3 linked regions of the Pelodiscus sinensis genome follow. The protein of the gene in region 3 purifies or fractionates together with the protein of the main gene of each other region. This does not show direct contact. Links are inferred from orthologs where the notes say so. Each region holds a gene or a part of one and is shown on either strand. Other genes may lie near its edges.

Region 1 (8,132 bases), on a different chromosome or scaffold from region 3:
AATAAACACCAGACACGTCACAAAGGATGCAAGAAAATCTGCATATTTAATGCAATTAAAATCTATCATCCACCACTCATACTAGCAAACCTGCCAAGTACTCAATGACGGTTCGTGGGGGAGAGAGAACAAACATGGACTTTGTGCGCATTACCGCATGTGTGTGAAAGCAGCAACTAGAAAGCATGTGTTGAACACGCTGGTCAGATCACCCCGTCACTAGCGGTCAATGATGATTTATTTCCAGGGCAAAGGCCACGATAGGGCACAATAGCAACAAAGCATCTGTCTGATGCTGAAGTCTGAAGGAATAGCCGTGTCCTTAATTAGTGTTCCTTGCCTGCAGAGCAGTTTGCAGGGGTGACAGCTTACTGTGAGAAGATGTCTCCATGGGAACCCTGGTGACCATCCTTCAATCCCTCCTCGCCATAGGTATCATACTGCTTTCTCTTCTCCTCGTCTGAGAGCACCTGAGAGGGCAGAGGATGTGGGACAAGCACTAGTGAGTCAGGTTATTTAAACAAGCCTTTGAGAGGAACCCGGCCTTTACCCCAAATGAGGAATAAGAGGCAGTGGAGAGATCCAGATCACTTTTACTATGGCGGTGCTGGTCACCACTCCATAATCAGCACCAAGTCCAAGGTTGTCAGTTTAACAAGAATCTTTATTTTGCAGAAATTGGCTCTTTGGAAGTCTCTTGTCACCATATCACATGCATCTCATCGAAACAGCAAACCACCCAGACGCGCTATCATTCAACGCTGTTTCAATTACTCTTGGTGGGCTAATGGAAAAAGGATTAGCAGCGGAGTAAGAGCTCAAAAACACAGTCCTTTCGGCAGTCTGTCACACAAGTGTGTCGCTCTTCTTTGTGAATCACACGGCTACTCCCCCTAGGGATGTAGAAATCCCGTTACCCAGTAAGCAGCACCTGCTCCTTGCCCCAATCTCAGTAATACAGAAAGAGCATTTGTCCAGAGAGCCTTTTATAACCTTTCACCCTGCCTCCATCATCTCAAGTTTGAGCACCAAAGAGAAGCCACCAAAGAGGATGATCAACCTGCCATGGTGCAAACATTGGCGCTCACTTCTGGGAAAGAGAGCGAGCTGGAGAGCAGGGGTCTTGGCCATATGAAGGCAGAATAACGTCCCAAACGCAGGCAAGGTGTCACAATTAGATGTACTGATCTGCTGAGCCAAAAGTATGAGAGATGGCTGTTGAAGTTCTGCACCAGTGAGAGCGCACTGCTTAAATGGGGGCTGTTTGTGATTTCCCATCCCTGATCTAGTCTGACCTTCGTTGCACAGGTCATGGAATTTCAGCCAGTTATGAAGCCCAAATCAAGCCTATATCTTGTGGCTGAAGTGGAGCAGTCAATCAAGTTTTGGTGCTTTGAAAGAATAAGCTTTTGTTTTCCAGAGAAGAAAATGTGCTACGACAGAGGTGGCTACATCTTGAGCATCCACAGTAATCAAACTGCCTTTGGCCCCAACTACTGCAATAGCTAGCGCAAATCCAAACTAGGCATCTTCAAACTCCATTAAAAGGAAGCATTCCACACCCTCCCTTGCATGTTGCAGGGGAAACTTAACTCCAAAAATGAGATAATTGGGATCTACAAGCTGGCCCGGGGCCTCTACTAGAAACCTTAAATAGAGTGACAGCAATCAGGTTAACACAGGGCAGGCTCTTCACAATTTTTCGCTATCACTCCTCTGCCATTTCCAGTCAATAAACCTGTCTGACTTTTCACTTTTGTTGCAGCAATTCATTACCAACACTGAAATGTAATCATTGCTGACTCTCCCTGATTAACAACAGCTCCAAGGCCATCACTAGAAAACCGGTTGCACCCTCCTGCAAATGAGGAGATGGAGGAAGAGACTCCACCCAGACAGGAAAACCATGTTTGTTAGTACTCAGAGCAGATACTCTATTAACTCACTGACCTCATAGGCAGCTCCCAGATCCTGGAACTTTTCTTGCGCTCGCGGATCGTCAGGGTTGCGGTCCGGATGAAGCTGCAAAGCCAGTTTCCGATAGGCCTTTTTAATGTCTTTTACTGATGCACTGCGGGACACCCCCAGAATCTTATAGAAATCCCTCCTGAGAAATAGAGAGCAAAGTAAACATCTAGTCATGGCCTCTGCCACAAATGCACCACTTCTAACGAGACAACCACAGAACACCACCACTGCTACTGCAACTGAACAGCTCAGTAGGGTGAAGGCACCCTCCTGGAACACCTACGAGTTTCAATCAGTGCCATGACAACTATTTTAGTGGAGAAGTTGAAGCACAGACGTATTCAGTGACTGGCCCAAAACAGTGTGGAGGGTGTCCGTGTGTGTGTGGGTATGTCTACACTTGCACCCTCTTTTTGCTGGGGGCCGGGTGGGGGAGGGGCTGGGGGAGCGGTTGGGGCGGGGCGCTGCTGGGGGCCGGGTGGGGGAGGGGCTGGGGGAGCGGTTGGGGCGGGGCGCTGCTGGGGGCCGGGTGGGGGAGGGGCTGGGCGCGGCTGGGGGCCTGTGGGGGCCCGGTGGGGGAGGGGCGGGGCGCTGCTGGGGGCCCGGTGGGGGAAGGGCTGGGGGCCCGGTGGGGGAGGGGCGGGGCGCTGCTGGGGGCCCGGTGGGGGAAGGGCTGGGGGCCCGGTGGGGGCGGGGCGCTGCTGGGGGCCCGGTGGGGGCGGGGCGCTGCTGGGGGCCCGGTGGGGGAGGGACGGGGCGCTGCTGGGGGCCCGGTGGGGGAGGGACGGGGCGCTGCTGGGGGCCCGGTGGGGGCGGGACGGAGCGCTGCTCGGGGCCCGGTGGGGGCGGGACGGAGCGCTGCTCGGGGCCCGGTGGGGGCGGGGCGCTGCTGGGGGCCCGGTGGGGGCGGGGCGCTGCTGGGGGCCCGGTGGGGGCGGGGCGCTGCTCAGGGCCCGGTGGGGGAGGGGCGGGGCGCTGCTGGGGGCCCGGTGGGGGAGGGGCGGGGCGCTGCTGGGGGCCCGGTGGGGGAGGGGCGCTGCTCGGGGCCCGGTGGGGGAGGGGCGGGGCGCTGCTGGGGGCCTGCGGGGGCCCGGTGGGGGAGGGGCGCTGCTCGGGGCCCGGTGGGGGAGGGGCGCTGCTGGGGGCCCGGTGGGGGCGGGGCGCTGCTCGGGGCCCGGTGGGGGAGGGGCGCTGCTCGGGGCCCGGTGGGGGAGGGGCGGGCCGGGGGACGGCCCCGCCCGCGCTCACTCACCCGGCGCTGGCCTCGCCCAGCAGGTAGAGCAGCAGCAGGCAGAGGCGGCCGAGGGAGCGGGGGGCCATGGCCTGCGCGCGGGGGGTCTCGGGCCGGCTCCCGGAGCCCGGCGCGCCGGTAACCATAGATATGAAACGGAGCCCGGCGAAGAGAGCGGGCCAATGGGCGCGCGGCACAGCGCGCGGCCCCGGTCACACCTCGCCAATCACAGCCGCACACTTCACCAACCGCCCGGCCGGGCGGGCCAATCACAGCCCACTACATCAGCACTGCGCCTCCTGACCAATCGCTGCTATCTGCGTCACCGATACCTGGGGCCAATCACAACCCCAGGAAGGACATCCTCTCCCAGGGATCCCTCACCCGGAGAGTGCCCGGCTGAGGGCTAGCCAATCCCCGGCCGCGCGCGCCCCTCCCGGCCAATCACAGCGGGGGCGGAGGAGCGCTGTACCACTGCGACAGTGGCCTGCTCACGCAGAACAACAGTCGCGTGCTGACCCCTGTCGCTGTGGTGAGGGAGCGGCGGGGCGGGGCAGGTCTAGCTAACGTCTCGCTGGTCGCAGCCGCAGTGCGCACGTGCGGTTGCTAGGCGCTGCTGAGGGGAGAGCTGGGATTCAAACGCGGCGAGGCGCGGGGCCGGTGAGCGGGGCCTTCGCCTAGAGCTGGGGCCGCGGGGCTCTCGCCTGGGGGCGGGGCGCTGCCTCAGTGCAGGGGGAGGGGCTCTCGCCTGGGGGCGGGGCGCTGCCTCAGTGCAGGGGGAGGGGCTCTCGCCTGGGGGCGGGGCGCTGCCTCAGTGCAGGGGGAGGGGCTCTCGCCTGGGGGGCGGGGCGCTGCCTCAGTGCAGGGGGAGGGGCTGTCGCCTGGGGGCGGGGCGCTGCCTCAGTGCAGGGGGAGGGGCTCTCGCCTGGGGGGCGGGGCGCTGCCTCAGTGCAGGGGGAGGGGCTCTCGCCTGGGGGGCGGGGCGCTGCCTCAGTGCAGGGGGAGGGGCTCTCGCCTGGGGGGCGGGGCGCTGCCTCAGTGCAGGGGGAGGGGCTCTCGCCTGGGGGGGCGGGGCGCTGCCTCAGTGCAGGGGGAGGGGCTCTCGCCTGGGGGGGGCGGGCGCTGCCTCAGTGCAGGGGGAGGGGCTCTCGCCTGGGGGCGGGGCGCTGCCTCAGTGCAGGGGGAGGGGCTCTCGCCTGGGGGGGCGGGGCGCTGCCTCAGTGCAGGGGGAGGGGCTCTCGCCTGGGGGGCGGGGCGCTGCCTCAGTGCAGGGGGAGGGGTTCTTGCTGGGGGGGGCGGGGCGCTGCCTCAGTGCAGGGGGAGGGGTTCTTGCTGGGGGGGCGGGGCGCTGCCTCAGTGCAGGGGGAGGGGCTCTCGCCTGGGGGGCGGGGCGCTTCCTCAGTGCAGAGGGAGGGGTTCTTGCTGGGGGGGCGGGGCGCTGCCTCAGTGCAGGGGGAGGGGTTCTTGCTGGGGGGGCGGGGCGCTGCCTCAGTGCGGGGGGAGGGGTTCTTGCTGGGGGGGCGGGGCGCGTGGCCCGCTTGGGCGCCGTGTGCTGAGTGTGTGCGCTCCGCAGGTTGCCATGGCGCGCGTTGCCATGGAGCCGGCCGCGGTGCAGCTCTGGGTGAGGACGGAGCCCTTCCTGGTGGGGGCACTGCAGCTCCTGCCCCCGGCCAAGCTGGGCCCGCACTACCTCCGCAAGATGGCCGCTTACGCCCGGGCGCGGGCTGCCGAGGGTTGCTACCCGCGCCTCACCTGGCCCATGTGGCGCCACATCGCCTGCGGAAAGCTGCAGCTGGCCAGGGACTTGGCTTGGCTCTACTTCGAGGTCTTCGACAGCCTGGCGGAGCGGACGGCGGAGCAGCGCCTGGAGCGGGCCGAGGTGCTGTCTGGCTGTGCCTCCGACGAGGAGCTGGAGCAGCAGCGGAGCAAGGCACGAGAGACAACCCTGTGATCCTTCTCGGGGCTCACACTTGTGGGCCACGGCACAGGGCCGTAGGGTTAGCACCTTCGGCCGCCTACGCCTAGCCATTGGGTCCGAAACGTTGCACAGCCCCATCCCAGCAGCTTTTTCTCACGCTCCCCGGGGCAGCGATCGTTTTGCTGTCTGTGTATGCAGGTCACGCTACCATTCACGTGGTTAGCTTTCTGCTTGACTGGGGTTAATACCAGCCCTGCCCTTCAGAGCTGCAATGCTACCTTGCCTTTTCAAGTGGAGATCAAATGCTGTTCAGCAGAATTGCGTACGGTTGGTATAACCAACTAGGACATCTTTCTAGAGTAAAACATTTGACATACTCCCTTTCTCCCAGGATCTTGTTTAAATCTTCTGTGATGAGTTTGGTCACAGAAATCCACTTGAGCCTGTCACTTGATGTGCTGAAATACCACTGAGCCTGCCCCGTCTTACTGTGCCAGGCCGTCTGGTCTCTGTGGCAGTGGCACAGAGTTAGGGTTACAGTTCTCAACAGAGCCACACAGACACTTAGCTCACCTCTGGGAGGGGACAGAGCACCAAGGTGCACAGCCCCATTGGGACTAGAAACCCACGTAAATCAGTATTGCTTTGTATAAAGTTTTATACAGAGTAAGCTCTTAAATTTTTAACCCCCTTTATCAATGAAAGAGAAAGATGCACAGCTATTATGCTCTCTCCCCCCAGCAGGGATGTTTAATGTGTACAGTTAACATGCACAGTAACATGCAGCCCCCCTTTATCCCTTCCCCCCGGGGAGATGGCTTAAAAGCCAGCTCCCATGAGCACTGGCTCCCATAGAGCTGTCGGCTCCCTCATACTGCTGCTGCCTGTCCCCCTTGCATGTAAATGTGTAACCGTTGAAAATTTCAATGATTACATGTTTACAAAAATAAACATTTTAACATCCCTACCCCTCAGTAACAATGATTTACACCAGGGAATTAATAAATGATTTTATTAAGTATAAAAAGGAAGATTTAAGTGGTTGCAAGTAATAGCAGACAGATCAAACTAAGTTACAAAGCAACATAAAACACACCAGCTAAGTGTGGTTCTAATACTCAAAGAAACTGGTTACTTGCAGTTCTGACCCTAACAGTAGTTCTAATCATCTTTCCTCACAAGATGGGTAGCTTCAACTTGAGTTTGAGCCTTCTTAATGTCCAGTTCTAAGTGGTTGCAGCAGACCTCTGAGATGCTAAACAGGGGTGTCAAGTCTTGTGGCTGTCTCTGTTGTTTGGTTTCCTACCTATATCTCGATATTTTCAAGGCAGGAATCCCTTGTGTTCAGATCAGCCCTTTTCATTTTCTATGAAAAAGTACAGCATCCAAAATGGGTTCCTGTATCAGATGACCTGACCACTTGTCTTGGCTGGGTCAACCATGTCCCAGCAAACAGGAAAACCCAGATTATTTAGAGATCAATGCCCTGAGTACCAGGTCATTAAGTTCCTTGTGTACTTCAAATGACCTTCGCCTAGCATGTCTAGATTAGCGAACAGGTATACATGTCATATGTTAACTTCAAATACAGGAATGATACATGCACACAAATAGAATAAACACAGCTTGCAGATTACAAGCTTTCCAATGATACCTTGCAAGAATTATTTTGTAAAAAGCATATTCTATATTTCCATAAAGAATATGAAATACAGTCATACCCTTAAAAGCAGAGAAATCCCAAGTCTGATTTGTTCCTAATACACTATTGTTTTTTCACACAACATGGGCAGGTGAGCACAAAGGAGACTCCCGTAAAGGTGACCTGCAGACAAATTAAATTAGCCTAGCCCTTTTTTCCTCCTGTATGATGTGTAAAATAGACGTGAACATCTACATTTTTTTCTTTTTCACTTTATCAGGATTGTCAACTATTTCCCCCCTGGCTTTTCTGGCTGACTTGTAGGGAGAAGGGGGGAAAGAGAGGTCTCAAAATTTGTTTCTCCACAAAGGGTGGGGCCACTCAGCAAAATCATTCTTTAACATGTTAGTTAGTTTGTCTTACCAGAAAGGACTTTTAAACAGTCTGATTAAAAATCCACTCCTCTTTTTCTTGCCTCTTGCAATGTCATTTTCTAGTCATTCTAAGATTAGGCAGGATCTGAATTTGTAATGGGCCATGGGGGAAAGCAGAGGAAGGCTTTTGTCTTCCTTTGAACACAGTTTGGACTGCATTTTTTTGTAGAGAAATGACCCACCTCCACCCAAAAGGACAAGTCCAATATTTGCTCTTTGCATGTCATTGTTAAAGAACTTTTTCTATGCTTTTTGACAAACTAAACACTTTCAGTATTTGTTGATTGTGGCCCTCATGGAAGGGTCTAGAGCAGCGGTTCCCAAACTTTTCCAGATGGGGACCTGTTTTGACAATTCAGGAAGATTTGGTGACCCACGGCAATTCAAAAACGGGAGGAGCAGAGGGGGCAGAGCCACCTGAGGAGACACTTGGCGACCCTTTTGAAATGTAGGCGACCCATAGGTTGGGAAAACCTGGTCTAAAGGAAAGCTTATTTTTATGGGAGGAACCCGATTTCACTTCCTTTTCTCTGTGCTGGAAAAGCCAGAGGTCTTCAGAAATTATAATGCTTTCGTATGGCAAACCCATGTGGTGTAAAGAGACATGCTAAGGAGTGCACATATAAAAAAAAATGACAGTCCTGAAATCAAATGAGCTTAAACAGCAAACTTCCTAGCCCGGAGGTAAATATCAATTAGTCATTTGCACCAGCTCCTTGGGTCTTGTGCTCATCCACAAAGCCCAGATGCTATTGAATAGCAGGCCTTTGGTAACTCTTGCAATAGTCAAGACTGCAAAACAGATTTGTGCAAAAAGAGGGCTATACTGTTTAGAGATGTAAAAATGCATCTATTTAAGTAAATGTGTAACTGCTGTAAATTTCAGCAGTTACACATCTACCAGCACATGTGGGGAGCCAGCTCCCATGGAGCCGCCTG
Region 2 (8,407 bases), on a different chromosome or scaffold from region 3:
CAGGGCGCTCCCCCTGCCTCCAGGCCAATCAGGGACTGGGGAGTGCTCAAAACCTCCTCCCATCCTGTGAGGAGCATGTGGCACTTTGAAGTGCTGCATGCTCCTCGCAGGGCTGGGGCAGGGCCAAAGAAGTTTCATGCAGCTTCCCTGCTCCCAGGCCCTGATTGGCCTGGGGGCAGGGAGGAAGCACCAGAAACCTCCTCCCGCCCTACCCCCATCCTGCGAGGAGCACATGACACTTCAAAGTGCAATACACTCCTTGCAGGGTGGGAGGAGGCTTTGCACACTCTCCCCACCCCCAGGCCAATCAGGGCCTGGGGGTGGGAGAGCTGCACGAAGCTTTATTCACCCTGCCCACGCCTTGCATGGGCACATGGCACTTTGAAGTGCTGTGTGCTCCTCGTGGGGTGGGGGGGAGGGCAGAGGAAACTTTTCGTGCTCCTCCCGCCCCCAGGCCATTCAGGGCTTGGGGGTGAGGGAGCGTGCGTGATGTTTTCTCCCACCCTGTAAGGAGTGTGTAGCACTTTAAAGTGCAGCATAAACTTGCAGGAGGCATAAGGGATCTATCGAAAAAGGCTTTCTTTCTTGACAGATCCCTTTCTAGACTGCAGCTTTTTGCCGACAAAGTGCTGAGTTGACAAAGTGCTGAGTTGGCAAAACACGGTGGCCATTTTTATGCAGATTAGACACGGGATATTTAAATCCCTGCCTCATTTGCAATGTCAACCTGCCTAATCTGCATCCCTCCGCAGACAGAGGGATGCAGTCTAGACATAACCACAGAGAGGCAGCAGTGTGTGTGGGGGAGGGCAGGCAATTCTGTGAGAGTGGATACAAGTGGGAAGCCAGCTCTCACCCTCCTCACTGCTAACAGAGAGGCAGCAGTGCAGGGTCATGGAGAGGTACCTCCGTGAGATCTAGCGCTCATGGGGAGCCGGCTTGTAAGCTGACTCCCCCAGAGAACTGGCTCTCACCTGCCTTCCCCTACTGCCTTTGATAGAGGTAGCAATGAAGAAGTGTGCATGTAGTTATTTAGATTAATCTATAAGAACAAGCTTATCAGTCTTATTGGTTAATCATTTAAATGACTATACACTAACATCTCTAAATCTCACCTGTGATCTAAAACCAGAAAAAAAAAATTCTGAACATCTGAGGAGCAAAGAGAAACTAACATACATAAGAATATTATCCAGGGATGCCATGATTTTCAAAAGTTCTGTGCAATATTTTCTCTAATCTTTTAAATCCATGTGCGAAATATATTTCTATGTGTGTACCAAGGCCTGTGCAAATATGCACCACCAGTGGAAAAACAAACCGTAGCCATTAATCAAGCTGGGCAATATCTGCATCTGTCTTGGGACCCCAAATGCACAGTTTACAGGAAACACTAGTGTTGTGCCTCACCATTCCCTGCACTGATTTCAGCGGGAGAGGCAGGTGCTCTGCACCATAGACTATGGGGTTCTGAAGAAACAGAAGCGTGTTCATTAAATCAAGCAGTTTTAATGAAGGCTCCAGACGTCCTTGTGGACGTCCCCGAACTGTTCTGAATGGCTCAGTCCTGCAGACTTACTGCTAAGGAAGATGTGAAGCTCAGTGACAAGCCTGCGGTATGTGAGGACTTGGCTGCTGACATGCCCTCTGTATGGAGAATGAAATCCGGGGATAACTAAAAGGCCAGTTTTGCATTTTCTCTCCCTCCTACAGGGCTTCTGCGGCAGAGGCACTAACCGTGGGAGCTGCCCTTCCTTTCACCCTCTTCCTTCGCCCTCGCGGGAGCCCACTCAGCGGCGCTCGCCTAACAGCGCCAGGTTTCTTCGGGAGCCACCCTCCCCGCCCCGCGAAAGCCTCGTGCTTACAGATGAGGGCAGCCCCCCCCCCCCCCCCCCCGGCTCAGGCAGTCGCACTGGCACCGTTGCTACCCTCGTCGAGACGGGCAGCGCCTCCCCTCTGGGCTCCAGCCGCGCCCCGCAGCAGCTGCCTTCCCCGCCCGCTGCAGGGAGCTGCCAGCCCACCAGTCCCGCAGGCAGTGCCCGAGCCGGGCTCCCCAGGGCAGCTGAGTGCAGCGCCCGGGGTCACGTCACCCCCCTCCCGCTGTCGTCACAGAGCCAACCCCCCCTCCCGCTGTCGTCACAGAGCCAACCCCCCCTCCCGCTGTCGTCACAGAGCCAACCCCCCTTCCCGCTGTCGTCACAGAGCAAACCCCCCCTCCCGCTGTCGCCACAGAGCAAACCCCCCCCCCCGCTGTCGCCACAGAGCAAACCCCCCCCCCCGCTGTCGCCACAGAGCAAACCCCCCCTCCCGCTGTCGTCACAGAGCAAACCCCCCTCCCGCTGTCGTCACAGAGCAACCCCCCCTCCCGCTGTCGCCACAGAGCAACCCCCCCTCCCGCTGTCGCCACAGAGCAACCCCCCCTCCCGCTGTCGCCACAGAGCAACCCCCCCTCCCGCTGTCGCCACAGAGCAACCCCCCCTCCCGCTGTCGCCACAGAGCAACCCCCCCTCCCGCTGTCGTCACAGAGCAACCCCCCCTCCCGCTGTCGCCACAGAGCAACCCCCCCTCCCGCTGTCGCCACAGAGCAACCCCCCCCCCCCGCTGTCGCCACAGAGCAAACCCCCCTCCCGCTGTCGTCACAGAGCAACCCCCCCCTCCAGACATCGCCTCCCAGCTCTCCCGCGCTCCCACCTTCCTCAGTCCGGCCTACCTGCCCCCCCCCCCCCGGCCCTCACCTGATCCGTACTTGACCTCGTGCGAGTGCAGCCGCACGTTGTGCCGGGTGTTCAGCAGCTTCAGCACCGACCCGCAGGTCACAGCGCCCGGCACCGGCTCCTTGCCGCGGCCCGACTGGCACAGCAGCGCCAGGAGCAGCAGGAGACAGCGGCGCCGCATCGCTCCTCAGCCCGGCGCCCGCCCGCCCGCGCGCGCGCAACTAACCGCCCCAGCCGCTTCCGCAACCGACCGGCAGCCCGCTTGCCGCTTCCGCATCTTGGCCAATCGCACGATGCCAGCGCCGCAGCCTGCCAATCCCCGCCCGCCTCTCTTCCGACTTCGCCGCCGCATTGGGGCGCCACCTGCTCGGGCCGCACACAGCGTACACGAAGGGGGAGCCCATTGGGCAGCGGAGGATGCCCAGGCAACCAATCAGAAGAGGCGGCGTGGCACCGCGCAGGGAACTGACCCAAAGGGAAACTAAAATTCGGAGACCAAGGGCATTAGTCAGTGGGGCGCGTGTAGGGCAGGTGGCAACTAGCAGGTGGTTGGGCCTTCGATGTGCGGGGCTGCCTCATGGACAGTCACTGCTGTAGGGACTGGCAGCGGCAAGAGGCCCAGCTGCATCCATCAGCCCTGCGCTCAGCTAGCTCCTTCTGGCACCCACACATCAAGCAAAGCACAACATGCTTCAGCCTGCCCTGACTGCCTTCCATTGCAGTGGGACGTCAATATGCAGTGATGCAACACCATGCGCAGACTTGATCTATTTTTTTTAATCCACTGAGAATTTCTGCCTTTCCAAAAAAACAAAATTAAGCCCTCAATATGGAAAAACTTAAAAAGTTTTCAAACAAAGCCCCCAACACCAAACTAAAAAAATCCCTCCTTTTTTTTGAGGATAATAAACATGTTCTGCTAAGGGTTGGTTTAATTTTAAGTCACAAATAGTGTTACTCGTCACTTTATCTACAGGAGTAACAGGGTAGGAGATGACACTGAGGTTGCGTCTAGATTGGCATGATTTTCCGGAAATGCTTTTAATGGAAAAGTTTTCCGTTAAAAGCATTTTCGGAACAGAGCGTCTAGATTGGCACAGACGCTTTTCCGCAAAAGCACTTTTTGCGGAAAAGTGTCCGTGCTAATCTAGACGTGCTATTCCACAAAAAAGCCCCAATTGCCTTTTTCGCAATCGGGGCTTTTATGCGGAAAACAAAGCTGAGCTGTTTACACTGGCCCTTTTGCGCAAAAGGACTTTTGCCTGAATGAGAGCAGCATACTATTTCCGCAAGAACACTGACAATCTTACATGAGCTCGTCCCTGCTTTTGCGGAAATTCAAGCAGCCAGTGTAGACAGTTGGCAAGTTTTTCCGGAAAAGTGGCTGATTTTCCGAAAAAACTGGCCAGTCTAGACACAGCCTGAGGCTGTGTCTACATTGGCATGAAAATATGTTGCCTGTCTACACTGGCCACGAGTTCTTGCGCAAGAACACTGATGTTCTAATGTGTGAAATCAGTGCTTCTTGCAGAAGAACTATGATGCTCCTGCTCAGGAGTAAGCCCTGTTGTGCAACTGTTCTTGCACAAGAGGCCAGTGTAGACAGGCAATATGAATTTCTTGCGCAAGAAAGCCCGATGGTTAAAATGGCCATTGGAGCTTTCATGTACAAGAGAGTGTCTACACTGGCACGGATGCTCTTGCGCAAAGGCACATGCCAGTGTAGATGCTCTCTTGTGCAAATACTTTAACGCAAGAACTCTCACGTTAAAGAGTATTTGCGCAAGATCATGCCAATGTAGACGTAGCCTCAGAGAACTACGTGGACTGTCTTAAGTATGCATTTGACATTGGATATAGGGCCTGTATAATATACTACATTCATGACTGGAAGCATGGTGTGAGGATGCCAAGCTACCCAATGTAATGCTCTTATGAAAGCAATATAATTTTCTTGGGTCAGAACAAAGTCGCCAAGCAACAAAGATGCAACAGCATAAAAGTGGGACTCTACTTTGAATTATCTTGGATAGTTTGGGTAGCACATCACCACTCTGGGCTAGTGAGAACATCATGAGATACTCATTAGACTCCATTTTCCACCAGCTCTGAATCTACCAAGCCCTTTGCTTCCCCCCTACATGATGAAACTCAATCATTCACTCAAAGATTTGTTATTTGACTTGCCTATATTAACCTATTATACTTGTAGAGCAGTGTCCCACACTTTTTGTTCATGCCTTTTTAAATAGACTGGATTAAATTAAACTTCAGTCCTAAATCTCCCTGAACCACAATGGTACCCCCACATTCTGCACTATGTCCATTTTTGTTAATCAGAAAATCCTTTTCTATTGCTTGTTGATTGTATCTGATCCAGTAGAATGCAAATGAATATGGTGCAGTTTGACATTTGAATACCTTATTTTTATTTCTTCTTGAAGGCTCTTCTCTTCTTCTAAGACAACAGATCGCTTTTGTTACTGCTTTTTAAACAGGACAAAACAGATGTCTGTGGTTGCTATGTTAGCCATGTAAAATCAATAATATGGGGCTTTAGCTGGCACCTGTTTGTCTTTCTGGGAGGTCACTAATTCCCAGTGCATTTAGTGCAGTTTATGTGGTGCTTTTTACAGTGCTTTTCAGTTGTACTTTAGAAACATAATTGGGTTAGAACAGTTGCCAACAAAAAACCCCATCAGTGCCAAACAACTATGGCAATTAACAACCACGTTATTGCTATAAGAGCTATTGTTGGATTTAGCAGGCTGCTGTGAGCTGCAGATAAACTCTCCCTTGAAATTATATGATGGGGTGCAATAGAGATGTGCCTCTTGGAGGGCAGAATTATAATTTCTCTTCATGCACATGAAGCGAAATCAGTGAAACTAACCACAATTCAGCCAACAGCTAGAATGTCTTTAGCTCTTACTCACTTAGGCTACATCTACACTGCAAGCTTTTTGCGCAAGGACGGCCATTCTTGCGCAAAAACTTGCTGAGCATCCACACTGCATGCGTGTTCTTGTGCAAGTAAATTTATATTAAAGCACCAGAAAAGAAGGCTTCTTGCACAAGAGTTATTCCTCTCCCCATGAGGAATAAGACCTCTTGCGCAAGAAGGCAGTGTGGAGGGGCAACAGGGATTTCTTGCACAAGAAACCGCTATGGCTAAAAATGGCCATCAGAGCTTACTTGCGCAAGACAGCGTCCACACTGCCATGGATGCTCTTGTGCAAAAGCACATCTCTTGCTCAAAAGCCCATGGTCGTGTGGACATGCTCTTGTGCAAGACCTTTCACAAAACAGTTCTTGCACAAGAAGCCTGCAGTGTAGATGTAGCCTTAATCTTACAGTCCTTAGGTTGTGGTCTTGATTTTTAGAGATACTAAGTACTCACAACTAGGGATGTAAATTCCTGTTATGTTATGTTCTGTTTAACTGGTTAACCCCTTCAATAGGGTTGGGAGTGGGGTTGCTCTGGCCAGGCCTGCTGCAAGTGGGGGCTACTCTGACTGGGCTGGAATGCCCCTGCCCATGGTGCACTGTTCTGGGCAGGCTGAGCTCATGATGGGTGGGGACTGCTCCAGCAGGTCTAGAGTGCCCTTACCTGCAGCACAGTGGGCCCTTCTGAGCTTGAGCAACTGCTTGCCCACACTGAGCAAGGCGCTACTCCAGCTCCTACTAATTAACCATAACTGGGAAGCATTAGCTGGAAAGCGTGATGCTTACTGGTTAACCCATTAACCATTCAGATTCCTACTCACATGGCTACTGAGCACCAGTGCTCCTGCTAAGCTTCACTGCAGCACAGCTTCACATGTGATTAATCAGAAGCTCAGGGCCTAGTGCACAGAGCTCACTTACTGGGCAGGGCTGATTGATCACTTGTGAAGCTGTACTGCAGAGAACACAGCTAAGCATCCATGAAAATCAGGCCCTAAAGAACTTTTCAGTAGGAATCAGTTGTAGATTAGAGCTGCAGGACTGGTATCCAAGCGATTAAGGGGGTGTATCTTAAGAAGAGTATTCTGACACACGGCAACTGTACTTTACTTGAGGGTTTTTTTGTGAAACAAGCTTTGAGCGTTATGTTTAGTGTGCATGACAACAGCAGTAATTGAGAACAAAGCTAAAATGGCAGGCAGCACTTAGGTTTAATCTATACACCAGACTGTACTGATTTAGCTAGACTCATCATATATAAGTGCTTGGGTATGGAGGATGTATGTCCAAACATTGCATTCTAGTCTTCAGATTGCTGCTAATTTGAGGCAAGACATTCAGGGCCTGAGTCTGACTTTGCACAGGACCAGTCCCAAGGCTTGTAGAGATCAGTGCGTGTAAATAAGGAGTTTTTCCACTGAAATCAATGACATTACAGTGGAGAGAAAGAAATTATCCTCCCCCCAACTCTTCTATGGCTCATTACAACTATTCTATTTTGCCACTTCTTTTCTCCTACATTGATAAACTGTTTGTAATTATGCCTCTCCAGATTGAGTTATTTTATTATTTCACTTTGTTTGGCATATTGGATCCCTGAGTGGCGGCTCTAAGCACAGCAGCACTACAAATAATAACCGATAGTAATAATTGTAATAGGAACTAATCACTCAAGGACAGCTACAAGTAGTGAAAAGAAAGGGTAGGTTGCAAAGAATTTTTGGAAATGTATAACTGCCTGACATGTAATTTGTGGAGTAGGGACCTAAAATAGGTATTGTGTTAGTAATACATGTAAATAAGCAGAAGAAATTTGACAATAAACTACAAATATATTTGTTTAATTTTCAACTGATAGGATTTCAAATTTTGGGGAGAACAGTTGATGATTTTTGGCTGCTCTCTCCCGTGATGCTAGTCCTTTGAGACAATGAGGATTGCTTTGGAGACTCTACAGAATTCTGGCCTTCAGTGTCTGGTAAAATAGTCGATTTTCTGTTGCTCCCTTCAGTTATGCTAGTCCTTCGAGAAGATGAGGCTTGCCATACAGTTTCTACAGAATTCTGTCCTTCAGATTCCAGTAAAACAGTTGACGATTTTCGGCTGCTCTCCCTGGTGACACTAGCCCTTCTAGAAGATGAGGCTTCCCATAGACGTTCTACAGAATTCTGGACTTCAGTGTCTGGTAAAGCAGTTGGTGATTTTATGTTGCTCTCACTTGTGATGCTAGCCCTTTGAGAAGACAAGGATTGCCTAGGAGATTCTGTAGAATTCTGGCCTTCAGTGTCCAGCAAAACAACAGACAATTTTCTCTGACTATCAGCAGGAATAATAGACTTGCTAGAAGATGACCTTTGTCTTAAAGATTCAACAGAATCTTGACCTTGTGAATCCTCTCTACTTTGTGGGAAATCATCAGGGAATTTTAGAGGAACTATTTCAGTTATTTTGGGCAGAGAAGTGATTTGTTCAGTGGGTTTCTTAATTAATTTTACTTTGCCAGTAATAATTTTTGGTTTAGAATGAGTGATTTTTTTGTCACCACTCTTTAAACCAGGTTTTTTAGGTTTAGCAGGTCTTTTTGCATGTACCTGTTGATATACTTCGGCCCAGTCTATCTGTGATGATAATCTTATGCCACTGCCTTTTAATTTTTTAAAGCCAAACATTATCTCCAGGAGTACTTTGGTTACAGGAACTGATATAAACCCAAGCTTTTCTGACAGTGACTTCTCATAGTTATATTT
Region 3 (7,221 bases):
TTTTATTCATGTTAGTCTAGCCAGCTTTGATCTAACTAGGTCTACATGTGCTGCAGATGTACTTCTGATTGTAGTGTAAATGTACCCAGAGGTATCAGGCTCTATGCAAGCTCCCTCCGATAACTCTTCCAATGCATTTGAGTCCTGTCCTTTCAAATCCCTTTTTGTTCCAGCCTACAAATTCCAGATGAAGCTCTCTCATCATAACACTTCATGACCATTCAGATGGATTAATAAGAGTAAGCTGGCAGTCCTGAGATCATATTCACGTGCTTCCAATGTTCCACAATCCTGATCTGCAGCTTTACCTAATATTTCAGTGCCAAGTTACCACACAATTCTGAAGTATCTCTTGAAATTCCAGTCTTGGGTCTTTCTTGAGCAGTCAGTGGTACTATTGATAATCACTGATTCTGAGCCAGATAAATTTCTCCTGGGATGAAATGAAATCCTGAGGCTTTAGCTTCCTGAACTTTTTCTAGCCCACATTTCTTAGAATTTATTTTACAGGTACAGTATATTCCATGCAGCAAACTTTCGGCACATTTGCAAGAGGCCTTGCTTAGGCAAAACACTTCAGAGCATGACACCCTCATAGCCATCAAAACACTAATACACATGCTGAAGTGCTTTGCTGAATTGGGACCCAAGCTAGAATATAAATGAAGTGCAGATCTTTCAGTTCTCCACAAGACTGTCAATGCCCTGTAACAGTTTCCTCCTTAAAGGATCTGTGATCAAACTCTTTGAAACAAAAGCCTGTTTTCTATTCACACTTGCAGCTCAAACAAATGTGTTTCAGCACTTGTGAAAGTGAGGGGGAGCTTCCAACAAATATAGTTTGAACAGATGCAGTGGAAGCATCTCTTAAATAATTTTGCAAATGCAATGTTAGTCTTTACCAGACAGCACTGCTGTTCTAGGACCAGATCCTGCAAAATATTACAGTAATCCTATTGATTGCTGAGAGACTACTAGCACCAGTAAGGATTACTCAGAGGAGAGAGGAACTGTAGGATCAGGCCCTTAGCTGGGGAGTTCTTTCAGGCAGCGATTGACAATTATCCAAAACTGTGTGTTGGATTTGTAAAATGTGCAGAATACTGTAATTTCAGTGCCATGATAATTACAGACAATGGCATATGCCTGTGCAGTATGTATATTTCCTATTAGTGAAGTTACATGAAGCATATTAAATAGGTTTAAGGAAATGCTGATGCTTTTGCTCTTTCAAGATAAAAATATCATGTGTAACCTAGCTTACAGCATTAAGAAGAACTTTGAAAAATTTATCCCAGGAAGACATTTGGAGCTTGAGCAGAGAACAACAACAATCTGAAGGTAATGCCAAGCAAAGCTGTGGTTAAATTTTTTCCATTTTAACATATTATCACAATATAATAAACTAAACACATGAAGAAGACCGATATATTAGTGACAGAATATTTTCGTATCCAGGCTACACATTTCTGAAGTTCTCTTATTTATTGGGCCGATCCTGTCACTGGTGCTGAGCATGTTTATTGAAGAGCTTCTCAATTACCCCACGCTTCAGCATCTTGCAGAAACAGAGTAATAGGGTGCTGAAGGGATAGCTCCAGTTTACCTCATTTCACTCCTAGACAGTTTGCTGATAAAAAAAAAATCAGTTGCAAGGAAAGAACTAAGCAAACTCACTGCATCATGGAATTTAATCACTGTGCAATTACATTTTCAAATCACTCTCAGAATGAATATCATATTATCAACCTTTCAGCATGTATCCCAGTAATTAAATAACGGTACCCTGGCAGAACAGTATAAAATAAAGCTACAGTGGCTACTGCAGCCTGGCGGCCCATGTGTATGGCACACATTTCTGATGCGTGCCATGATTAATTGACACATAAAAAGCCAGATGTTAACTGACATCGCTCAATTGAGCTCATTGGAACGGAGCTGGATAGTCACCAGCTGAGGACCAGGTTCTGCATCTCCAAAGGGAATGTGCAGGTGCTCCGGGGCTGATGGTCGCACGTAGCAGAGCAAGGGAAAGACCAAGAGGGGTGGCTGTGAGCTCAAGCACGGCTGGTCACTTTGAATGTGGGTCTCTCCTTTTGGTTCCTCTCTCTGCCCAGAGGACGCAGGAGCCAGAACACGCTGGCAAGAGGCACCATGCGATCAAACAATAACAGCAGCAGCGCTGGGTCGTAAGTCACATTCAAGGCAACACGTTTCCGCGGAGGAACACAAAGCCCGCTGCATATGCCTGCTCGCCCTGGGCTGCGGGGACACACAAGAAGCCGAGAGAGGACCACTCCCCCCCCCCCACCAAGTGGAAGCGACCTCCTTCTGCCTTAGGGAGCATATTCCACCAAACCAGCCCGGGCCGCCAGTGCCTATCAGCCCTGGTGGAAGAGCACAAAGGGAGCGGCGGGAGGGGGAGAAATGCGCCAAATCCACATTTAAAAAAAAAAAAAACCACCCCAACAATCACACCCACGAAGCCCCACGCAGGCAGGAGACAACAATCAGCGAACCCGCCCAGCCCTAGCTCCCACTAGCCGCCCTGCGAAGGGAGGGCAGTGGCAGGCGGCGCGGGGCCAGGCAGATGCCCGGGCTGTCTGTCTCTCTCTCTCTCTCTTACCTTGAGGAACAAAAAGAGCCAGAGCAGGGAGCAGAGGGGCATCCGGGTGCTTCTCCCTCCCTTCGCCAGGGCTCGGACCATTGAAACGCAGCGCCCCGCCGGGACCGCACGCCGGAATCTCCGCAGGCTTTTGCGTCGGGCTGGCTCCAGACTGGGCTTGGCAATGGCGAATGGCTGCAGCCTCACGCGGCTCCAGGCGCGGGCTGCCCTCGCAGGACACGCAGCCTTCCCCGCGGCATGTGTGGGTTAGGGGGGGGGGGGTATTTTTTCCAGTAGTTTCTTTGATTGCTCAGTTAAAGGGGGGGGGGAGGGTGAAGCGGGACTCTGCTGCTGCTGCTCCTGCCTTGGAGGTGCAGAAGGTGATCAGCTGAAGCCTCGCGTTTCCCTCCCCTTCTGGCTTTCATTGAATGAACGAGGCGGTCTCAAGCCAGGCTCAGGGCTGAAAGTGGCGAGCAGCCTCCCGTCTCTCTCCTTCCCACCCTCTGTTAGCTCCGCCCTTCCCCAGAGCGCCCCCCAACCCGAGCTCTCCCGCAGAGACTTTCCCCAGCCCGCTCTCTGTTTCCCCTTGATCAGTGTCAAAACAAGTCACAAGCCCCAACTCCTCCTCAGTCAGCCCGCTCCCCCCTGCCTCCCGGCTAGACCCTCCGCTCTTGCCGTACACGCAGCTGGCCAAAATCACCCCCAGCGTGCTGCCCCACCCATTGCTTCCCGGAAAGGTAGTTTCAAATGAAGCTGCCAGACGGAGCCGCGTCAATATGGCTCTAAAAACATGATTATTCCCTGTGGAGACCCACTCTGTCTCCCTAATGCCCAACACCACTATCGGTAGAACAACACTGCAAATATTAGAGACATGATGGTGATTTCAGACTTTCTAAAGGGGAGTTTCCCAATCACTTGCCTCTACCTCTGGTTTCTATGAATACCTGTCCCACAGTTACAATATCTGAGAATAAGATCCAGGGTCTAATTATGGCCCTGATCTCAGTTTTGACTTAGTACACAAAGACCCTGGTAACTGCACCCAAACAGATCACCACAGCCTTCTGGAGGGGCTGCTTACAGTGCTTAAAGTTCAGCATGCCCAGAGGTTTTTGCAGGATCCAGACTCAAGTGCATAATCATACCAGGTGCTGAGTAGGGATGTTAAATTGTGGGTATTTGACTAATTGAATAGTTGATGTATTTTGCATAGACTAGCTGATAGGGCATCTCTGCCTTTGAAGTGTAAAACCAGCCCTAGAGCTGTTGCTACACTTTAAAGGCAAAAGCACCACATAGAGCCCAGACTCCCCACTGACCCTGGGCTCTGTGTGGCGCTGCCACTTTCAAATGCTACGAGTCAGGCTCCCTGTGGCATTTCAAAGAGGCAGAGATGCGTGAAGCCTGGGGTCAGTGGGGAGTCCCCCAGCTGACCCCAGGGTCCACACAGCACTGTCGCTTTGAAGTACCTCCTTCTTCCCCCCCCCCCCCCACTTGCTGCCTCTTTCTGATAGCATTTGCTTATTGGGTAGTCGACTAGTCTTTCACATGTCTAGTGCTGAGCATCAATTGCGGGTGCTCAACATCTTACAGGAGGCATTCAGTATGAATCCCCAAGTGCTCTAAAATCATTGCTTAACCAGGCCCCCCCCAAAAAACACTCCATTCAGACCTCCAGGAGGAAGAATCTGGTCAATAATCTAAGATTCAGAGAAGATTATAAAATCCACTTGATAGTTCTTATTCCCTGCTACACTGGTGTAAATCAGGAGTATCCTTATTGAAGCCAGTTGAGTTATAACCCATGTAAGCATGAGGAAAATTACACCACTTCATATAAATGTACCTGAAGCATAAAGCAGAGCTGGACTGATGGGGTTGCATTGATTGGACTTTGTTATTGGCCCCAGACTGCTTTCTATTTTTTGTCTCGGTGATCTACTGTTTGGCAAATACAGTGGCAAAATTAAAATGTTTTGAAATGTCTCATGTTTCCGCGTCACTAATTCAGAATGCTGCTTACTAAATTAAAGAAAATCCCATGGATGAGTCCTTTAAATTAATCAATTAAAAGTTCTTTTCTAACAGTGACAACGAGTTAGATAATAAGAGGGCTCTGTTTAACTTACATGCAGTATCTCTCTAATTTTCACGTAATTTGGGTCGTGAGTCAACAGAAGCTCTGATTGCTATGAATCTGGAGCTAGATGTGAGGTTTTTTTTAAAATGAACTAGACACTTAGATGGTGCTAGCTGAATTATTTCCTGCACTTGATGGGGATTAGTCAGAAAAGAATAGGAAATTTAGGTAGTGGGCAGGACGCAGGAAGCTTCCCACATTTACAGACCCAGAAGGAAATTGTTTGCATTGTTTGTGTAAAGGGGTTGAAGAAAGGGTAAAACTTCACTTTTATATTTTGCACAGTCACTACCATATGACCCTCGCCCTCGTCTTCCTGCCTTTTGAAATCAGTGGGAGGGTTCAGGGTATTCAACACTTTTCGAATGACCAGGCTAGTGTGTACATACAACTGGACTCCACAGAAGATCATCATTTTTAATTATTTGTATTAGGGTAATCCCATGGGACCAACCAAGTTCAGGACACTGCTGTGCTAGACACTATATAAATGGGAGGATGCAAGGAGTGGAGAGGGGGTGAGAAGAAAAATGAGGGCAGGGCATTGTGGGAAGCAGGGCAGAGGCAATATGCAGTGGCTGCCTAGAAGTTCTTGCAATCTAAATAGAAAAGCCAGATAAAGCGAAGGAGAAAGGAACGTGAGATTGAAGCAGAGTGAACAAAGTGATGGTTGGCACACTGTGGTGATCAGTCATGTCAGAGTCATAATTTTTTGTGACCGTTCCCTGGAAAGACTTGGGAAACAACTGAAAAACTGCAAGAAGATGTCAGAAAGTAATAAAGAGCTACAAGATCCATTTGAATGGATGGTGAGAAAAATAAGTCCATAAAAAAAATGGGGAAGCATGGAAAGATTAATTTATTACTCTGTTTCCTTTTAGCACCTGCACAAAAAATAGAAATAAACGAATCTGTTTATTAATAAAACAATAAGATAAGATAATTAACGAGAACCTTTGTAATATCACATTTTCAAGTAGAATAATAATTATAACAATTTTCTGTAAATTAAAAAGGTTCTAATGAGCAACTACCCAAAAATACTTCATGACTAATAGCACCTATCTACTGTGTACAGAAGAAATGCTACACCATCAGTTTGAAAGGCATACAACAAAAAAGCATGCAATGCCCCCACATTATCCGGCGGGTGGGGATAGCAAGCAAGAGATCTACAGAGCAGTTCGGTATTCCCAGTTACCCATTGGCCCTTAAATCAAATGATTGAAAAAAGACCCTGAACCTCCACCCTGGGCCCTCTGTACTGCTTTCTTGTCATGTTTTAATAAGGGTGTGGGGATCTGTCTCATAGGAAAATCCCTATCTCTAGTGCACTTTAGAATATTGGCCAGTGGGACTTGATAATGAGACACATGCTTATGAACTTTTTTGTTATAACAAAGGCTAAGATTTTTCTCCAGTATTTTTAGTACAAGTCATGGACAGGTCAGGTCAATAAATAAAAAATCATGGAAGCCCATGACCTGCCAATAGGTTTTACTAAAAATAACTGATAAAATGGAGAGCTGACCGGAGGGGTTCCTACACCAGTCACAGTGGCTAGGCATTTGCAGGCGCCTGCTTAAAGCTCCAATGTCCCTCCCTCACCTGCAGCAGCCAGGAGCTGCAGGGTGTTCACTGGAAGCAGGTGTACTCCATAACTCCCAGTCATCATGGGACATCCCTGAGTTCCCAGCCATCTCAGGGGGACCATGCAGCTCCCTACCACTATGGGCTAAAGTTGTAGAGGTCACTGATTTCCTGACTTCTGAGACCTCTGTGAAAAAATTGTAGCCTTAGTTATGGCACTAACCTAGGAATTGGGACACCTAGGTTAAATTCCCTGTTCCACCACAAAACTACCTGTGTGACCTTGGGCACGTCACTTACAGCAAGATCTTTAAAGATATTAAGGCTTCTAACTTCCATTGATTTCAATACTTCTGAGGAACTAGGCTCTAGCTTCTCACTAATGCATCTGTAAAATGAAGATAACATTTCCTTACTTCACAGGGGTGTTTTAAGGATAAACACAAAGAACGGGGGTGCTTTGAGATTTACTGATGAAAAGCACTACAGGCAGTCCCCGACTTACGCGGATCCGACTTATGTTGGATCCGCACTTATGAACGGGGCTTTTCTCACCCCGGAGCTCACGGGCGGTAGGTCGCCACCCGTGTCCTCCGGGGCGAGAAAAGCTTCTCCCGGTCTCCCCGGTCTGCTGGGGGGGGGTCCAGCAAAGCCGCTGGACCCCCGCAGCAGACCAGGGACACCCGAGCAAAGCCGGCACCTGGGACCCCCGCCACCTAGGCGGTTTTGCTCCTGTCCCCCTGGTCTGCTGGGGGGGTCCAGCAAAGCCGCTAGACCCCCCCCCAAAGCAGACCAGGGGGACAGGAGCAAAGCCGCCCAGGCAGCGGGGGTCCCGCCACCTGGGCGGCTTTGCTTGGGTGTCCCTGGTCTGCTGGGGGGGGGA

Evidence for each region.
Region 1: the proteins of PTPRO (region 3) and DNAJB11 purify together in Homo sapiens (affinity purification with mass spectrometry; 3 studies listed by BioGRID and IntAct, with this or other methods). This does not show direct contact. The link is inferred for Pelodiscus sinensis from reciprocal best matches to the Homo sapiens genes PTPRO and DNAJB11.
Region 2: the proteins of PTPRO (region 3) and SDF2L1 purify together in Homo sapiens (affinity purification with mass spectrometry; 3 studies listed by BioGRID and IntAct, with this or other methods). This does not show direct contact. The link is inferred for Pelodiscus sinensis from reciprocal best matches to the Homo sapiens genes PTPRO and SDF2L1.

What each region holds. Positions count from the first base shown.
Region 1 is NC_134720.1:2,942,869-2,951,000, reverse strand, and holds the start of DNAJB11 (dnaJ homolog subfamily B member 11), read right to left. Parts: upstream 3,398-8,132; 5' UTR 3,346-3,397; coding exon 3,221-3,345; intron 2,108-3,220; coding exon 1,951-2,107; intron 471-1,950; coding exon 373-470; intron 1-372. Other genes in the region: TBCCD1 (TBCC domain-containing protein 1), read left to right, coding at 4,779-5,129. UniProt on the Homo sapiens protein: As a co-chaperone for HSPA5 it is required for proper folding, trafficking or degradation of proteins.
Region 2 is NC_134725.1:16,833,069-16,841,475, reverse strand, and holds the start of SDF2L1 (stromal cell-derived factor 2-like protein 1), read right to left. Parts: upstream 3,398-8,407; 5' UTR 2,896-3,397; coding exon 2,736-2,895; intron 1-2,735. Other genes in the region: CCDC116 (coiled-coil domain-containing protein 116), read right to left, coding at 7,523-8,407.
Region 3 is NC_134711.1:111,930,848-111,938,068, reverse strand, and holds the start of PTPRO (receptor-type tyrosine-protein phosphatase O), read right to left. Parts: upstream 3,258-7,221; 5' UTR 2,708-3,257; coding exon 2,627-2,707; intron 1-2,626.